2 linked regions of the Danio rerio genome follow. The main gene of each other region encodes a partner of the protein of the gene in region 2 in a complex. Links are inferred from orthologs where the notes say so. Each region holds a gene or a part of one and is shown on either strand. Other genes may lie near its edges.

The links.
Region 1: polr1h (region 2) and polr1e share a complex: the UniProt entries of both Homo sapiens proteins name them as parts of the RNA polymerase I (Pol I) complex. The link is inferred for Danio rerio from reciprocal best matches to the Homo sapiens genes POLR1H and POLR1E.

The regions. Positions count from the first base shown.
Region 1 is NC_133176.1:21,148,086-21,151,846, forward strand, and holds the start of polr1e (DNA-directed RNA polymerase I subunit RPA49), read right to left. Parts: upstream 2,435-3,761; 5' UTR 2,400-2,434; coding exon 2,342-2,399; intron 2,120-2,341; coding exon 2,016-2,119; intron 1,903-2,015; coding exon 1,826-1,902; intron 1,745-1,825; coding exon 1,659-1,744; intron 1-1,658. UniProt on the Homo sapiens protein: Component of RNA polymerase I (Pol I), a DNA-dependent RNA polymerase which synthesizes ribosomal RNA precursors using the four ribonucleoside triphosphates as substrates.
Region 2 is NC_133194.1:29,750,658-29,753,649, reverse strand, and holds the end of polr1h (DNA-directed RNA polymerase I subunit RPA12), read left to right. Parts: intron 1-800; coding exon 801-904; intron 905-1,001; coding exon 1,002-1,111; intron 1,112-2,236; coding exon 2,237-2,261; 3' UTR 2,262-2,376; downstream 2,377-2,992. UniProt on the Homo sapiens protein: Core component of RNA polymerase I (Pol I), a DNA-dependent RNA polymerase which synthesizes ribosomal RNA precursors using the four ribonucleoside triphosphates as substrates. Can mediate Pol I proofreading of the nascent RNA transcript.

The DNA of each region.
Region 1 (3,761 bases), on a different chromosome or scaffold from region 2:
TTAACATGGCGAGGCTTAGTGCACAAATCTGATTTTTTTCTCAGATCTGATTTATTTTTTTTGGCATAGCTGTTTACATTGTTGTTATTAATGTGGCCAATATCAGATTTGCAGTGTGAACAGATCTGCATGCGCAAAAGTACATTACGGACAGCACAAAATGTCTAATTTTGCACGAAATGTATGAAGTAAGCAAATTGTCAGATCATGCTTACATGATTATTGCCCTTTTCATATTTCATAAAATTTAAAGGATTGTTCTGCTACTACGAACGCGTATTACGGCATTTCAGACCTAAAATAAGTCACTTGTGATTTGAAAACACTGATCATTTGTGATCTATGACAACCGCGGTGCGTGTCTTTCTGACCACCGCTGTGGTAAACTCATCAAGGGTTAATGAGCAGTCGCAAACTGAACTGTGAAGGTGGAGTTGGTCTCTGTTTGCAGAGTTATTTTATTTTACTTCCTTATAAACAGCAGGCACGTGCTGAAGGGGGATTCGGGTGCTCGAGCACCTGCCCTTTTTTCTATTGGAAAGAAATTTCCCCCTTAAAATGAAAGTGCCCCCTCCTTAGTGTACGCATCGTTAACAAAACCAGTTTTGCCTTCAAAATCTTTTTTAAAATGAACAACCAATTTCTGTGGTAAAGTAATTGTCCTGTTCGTCATTCTACAATGCTGCTGAGGAATAGATGATGTTTGCAGCACAGATAATGATGCATTTCGCATTTGATAGTGGCACAAATCTGAACTATAAAGATGAGATTCCATGCAGTTTGGTCATTACTTGAGCCACATGTAAGCAAAAAAATCTGATCTGGGCCACATTTGGCTGCAGTGTGAACATAGCCCAAAACATTACTGTTGAATTGGAAAAGAAAATAGTGGAGCATTATATAGTATAAAGTGTGTTTTTCAGAGTACCCCCTCCATATATCTGCTATGGGTTTTATATATATATATATATATATATATATATATATATATATATATATATATATATATATATATATATACCATTTCAATATGATATCACTGGCCAATGAACATGTCCTGTCAAACTATTTCATAACTGTAACAAGAGGCATTTCAATGAAATCCCATCTTAACGTTAAAAACAGCTGTCATAACATTATCAATAGGTGGACCTTTTAGAAACTATGGAAACAAAAAATGTAAAACAGGAAATACATTTAAACCATAGTTATTGTTTACATCTCTCAAAAAAGTCTATACTGCATGTCTGTGAATATACTGGCAGCAGCAAGTCACAGAACTTGTTCCGCCATAGCAATCAAAGCAGCAGCTGCGTAGCAGATCTATGCCGCCAAGACCAAATACATCAACAATGCCAAATACATATATATTACCATACTAAACCTCTCAGAGCGCTGTCATGACAAAAATATTTGAATAGTATAAATATTCATGTTCACTATAAATGATAACCATTAACGATTATTACACAATATAATAATGTATGAGATATTATACTAACAGCACTCAGTAACATGGTAATACAAATAATATTACTAACGTTACAGACTTAGAGGCATGCAAACAATTTCACCCCCAAAAACGAGTAAAAGTTCCTTTGAACTCTAAGAACCCTAAACATTTATGTCCATAATATTTCAGATGTAAAACTGTTTACCTGGTATGACGGGCAGCATATTGAACAGCTGAGCACTATGAACTTTCATTTGCATAGTCTGCTTGTCAAGAACTCCCACAAAATACCTGTTGACAACATTTACACACCATTATTGAGAGGTTATTTAAGTGTTGCTCAGCAAATAAATAACAACGTGATGACCTCACTTGCACATATTATTAGACTGCAGCGATCCAGACCCAAAATTGCTCCCTACATAGGGAAGCCTATCTGAATCTGCAACCTGCATAGAAAAGATAAAGTTAGTTCCTAAAAGCACAAACAACACAATTGCTTCAATTTAGACTTTTTAAAGTTATAAAACAAACGCAGTTTCAGTAGGTATAAGTGTTTTACCACTATTCGTCTGTTTTTCTTTCTGGGATTTGATGCATTTGAGTGTTTGAAGACAGTAAAGTCCAGCTCCTCGGCATTTTTCACATTTCCATTAGAGAACTTAACTGTAATGACAAGAATAATGCTTTAAAATACAATGCGTGACAGTTTTAAAAACTATACTGTTAGACTGAGTGTACATTGTTTATTATTTGGTCGAGATGACCATATCCACGTGGGTGCGTTAAATACATAGAGGAAGAATAAGATTAGTTTATTACAGCTAACAAATAACAGCAATTATATATTATGTTACATTTATGATACTCTGGGTATTAAAACATTACCAATAAAAGTATTCTGTTCCGTTTCTTCACATGTTTTCCACGAACAGGTCGCCGCCATTATTACGGTTTCCTCGGCTGATATTAGCACGCGTTCCTGCACGAACAGCGACACCAATCGGTTTAAACAGTTTAAACAGAAACTTCCATTCAATTGTTCTGATATGATATTAATTGAATTTGCACAACTATTTTTAAAATTGAATAAATATGGATTAAAAGCCTTTCAAAATGTATTGTAAAAGCTTTTGAAAGTAGTCTATTTTGTTCTCCAAGGCTGAATTTGGTCTAAAATGCAAAATAAATGACAAAATAAATAAATAAAGGCCTAAACTGATGTTTAAACTGAAATAAATAAAAATAAAGTGAAGGAAATTTATTTTAAACTGATGATGGCAAATAAGTATTCTTAATTCTACAAGCTTTTTATATTGAATTTCATGTTAGGACTGAGCAATAAAACTATAATATTCATACACTAGTTTAGATTATGTCCAGAATAAGGTTTATGCTTGTAGACATGACTAAGTAATGCTGATTATTTACACCACACAGACAGTTTGTGCCCAACAGCACAAGTTTCTATGATTTATTTTACAATCAGATCAGACAGCACTGACATTCAATTTTATTAATGCAATGTCTGAGGCTCCTTCACCATGTTTTGCAGAGGGATCCTAAAAATAATCAACTCTGGTGTTTCTCAAATTTCTCTGAAACTACAGTTTCAACATAAAGATTTTAACATTTTATTGTAACTGCACTGTAAAACCCAATCATTTTGATAAACCCAATAAACCCAAAAAACTCTTTTGTGGCAAACCATTAAAGTTTTTAAACAAAATGTTGAGAGTACATTTTCTATTCGACTCAGTCCCTTTTTTAATCTGAGGTCAACACAGCAGAATGAACCGCCAACTTATCCAGCATATGTTTTACGCAGCAGATCCCCTTCCCGCTGCAACCCATCTCTAGGTCTCTCTCATACACTATGGACAATTTAGCCTACCCAATTCACCTGTACCGCATGTCTTAGGACTGTGGGGAAAACCACACGAACACAGGGAGAACATGCAAACTCCACACAGAAACGCCAACTAACCCAGCTGAGGCTCGAACCAGTACCCTTCTTGCTGTGAGGCGACAGCACTACCTACTGCGCCACTGCATCACGTCCGACAAATAAATATAGTTTATTTAAACCAAGACAAATCTATTTTCTAGCGTTTTGGAAAAGAAAAGAAGGCAGGAAATACACATGACAGCTTTGTAACATAATATTCATGAGGCACGCTTCCGTGACCGCCTACTAAATCTAACTCTGACCCAATCACGCAATACTAAAGTAAGATTGACATGTGACGTAATTAATATTCATGAGTGAAGCATTTCTTCTACCAGGATTGGTAACGTTAGTATCGCC
Region 2 (2,992 bases):
TCACGCTGGACTTCTCTCCCCATAGACTTTTTTCGGAAACGTAAGGTCGTGTGTCACTGCGTTGGAAAGTTCAAGCTTGGTGAACTCTGTCCTGCTAAATCGCATCACATGATTGTGAGAGACCAATCGAAGAGCAAAACGTGAACTCTGTACAGGAATTTAAAACATGGAGCAGTCACTCGCTTTTTTAATATCCAATCATCTTGTTTAATTTCGGCCTTTTGTGCAGCCCTGTACAACAGAATTTCGCAAGCTCAAACTCTAGTGTGACTACAGCATTAACTCTGAATCAGTCCACTCAAGACTTGGTTGACCTAACTCAGATCAGCTGTTCTGAAACTAAAAACTCTTGAGTTTTTAATCTCTTGGTAAGTCAACTCAGAGTTCAAGTTTAAAGTTCGAGTTGGTTGAACCTCCTTACTGAAACGGGTCCATTATGTCAATGATGAAGGTGCTTTTTCTTTGCAGGTTTATGTTATGCCCACACGGAATCTGCTTGCGCAGAATTCCGCAGATTTTCCACAGAATTCCGCAGATTTCTGCAGATTATTAGCCCATCATAATTCTGTTTATTTACTTGAGTAAATGTGTAAATCTAAATTTATTCAGTTTTTATTGAGTAATTACTTACTTTTTATTTAATATATTAAGGTTTTAGCTATGATACTCTGCTGGATACTCCCAAAATAATTCCGCAGAAATCCGCAGATTTTTACCAAAATTCTCAGCAGAAATAGCAAAAAACGTCCGCAGATTCCGTCTGGCCCTGGTTATAACCCAGTAGTATGATTCTCTTTCAGACTTCACAAGTCAAGTGATCAAGTCATCGGTGATGTTTAATCCTTTGGATCAGAGCAATGTCGCTGTTGAAAGTGCAGAGGATGCTGAATTGAAGGGGCCAGTGGTATGTTACAAAAAAAGAGTAATTGAGTCTGAAATATCATTAATTCTCTTTGTAAACTTTTTCACTTTTTTCTCACCTTCTGAAAACTTTTCCTTAGATTGACAGGAAATGTTCTCGCTGTAATAAAGAGGGAATGGTTTATCATACAAGACAGATGAGATCTGCAGATGAAGGGCAAACTGTTTTCTTCACATGTATTCACTGCAGGTAATTAACACAGCATGCTCATAAACCCTTGGTGCTCCTTTGAAATTTTAGAGAGTGACAAATTATATATATATATATATATATATATATATATATATATATATATATATATATATATATATATATATATATATATATATAATTTTTATTGTACTTTAAACTTTATTGGTATAAATAAAAACTTACATTAAGCCTCTTTTTGCACTTGCTATGTAAACAAAGACTTTAAAATCTTGGATATGGTTTGTAAAATTTAACCTTTCTGGAGAACTACAGACACACTTGTGTTGTTCACGATCAAAAATAAATGCATTGCAAACTAAATTCATCAAGCGGAAACGTTTGGTACAGCACCCAAACTAAACGTTATTTGTTAAAGCTAGTTTTTGAGATGTCAGTGTCATTTGAAAGTCAACCAGTTTATATAGTTGGTCTTGATTTTTCTCACAATTTTAGAGTAAGTACATTTACATTTAAAAACAATACGTTTTCTACATATACTATTATTTACTATCTATCTGTAATTCAACCAATTAGCACTAATACAAGTACAATTTATTTATATAGCATATTTCGCACACAATGGTAATTCAAAGTGCTTTACATAAGCAAGAATAAAAGACATAAAATAAAATCTTTAAAAGATTTAAAAATGATTAAAAGCTGATTCAAATGTGTTTAAAACAGGTTATTAAAGAATGAAAATGAAAACGAAAGCCGTAATGGTTTGATCTGTCGGACATAGCACAGTGCTCATTCAGTAAAGGCACAGCTAAACTGTTTTCAGTCTTGATTTGAATGTGCCTAATGTTGGAGCACATCTGACCGTTTCTGGAAGCGGATTTCAGCTGTGGAGGGTTAATAGCCGAAGGCCGATTCACCCCGCTTTGACTGAACACTTGGGATTTCTTATTTACTTGGTTCTAATGATCTGAATGATCTGTTAGGTTTGTATTCAGTTAGGTCTTAGGCTACTTTTAAATCGATTATGAATGTAACTGGGAGCTAGTGCAAAGACCTGAGGACAGATGTGCTCTGATTTTCTGGTTTTGAATAAGCTGCAACTGTCTGACTGTCTTTTTTGGGTATTATATAGTATTAATATTTTACTTTTTTTTGTTATAGGTTCCAAGAAAAGGAAGACTCATGAGAAATGTGTTGCTGCTGCTGTCTTATATTGATTGCTAGAATTTAATTGTATAAAATAATGTAAAGGTTTTGTTTGTATTCATACTATTCAGTGTTAATAAAAATTATCAAAAGAATGTTTGTCTTTTATATCTAATATGTAATTTTCTTTATATATAGTATAAGGAATGCATAATAAACACTATTTATAATTTTAAAAATAAAAGTTTGTAAAAGAAATACGGTTTTCCGAAAAGTCCCTTCCCACACGCGTGAGCCAATCAGCCTTTATGTTTCAGCGATCACGTGATCGTACAACATGGCTTCACACTGTCCGAGCTGAATGGCTAGATGACTGTTCATGAAGAAGTACAATGATGTGTATCACTTTATGCACTATTTAGTGCTTCCTAGCGCCTGTGAAACAAGGTAAGCAAATTGACTGTATAATAAATCTAAGTTTAAAGCGAGAATGACTACGATATATGATACATACATTTTCTAGGCATGAACTCAAGGCAGCAAGAATTTAAAGCATCTATTGTTCCTTAAATGCTCATTTCAATATATTGTTGTTGTTACCTTTGATATCAGTGTGTTTACGTTAGTGTAACCAACAAAGTAGATGCACTATAACATCTCAGTCAAAGATAGTGAACAATATGACTCCGTTTGACAGATAATGTTTTCTGATAGAGCCTAATGCAGGTCATTTTGATTTTTGTCTTTACATTTGCCCGTTTTTACCGTTTA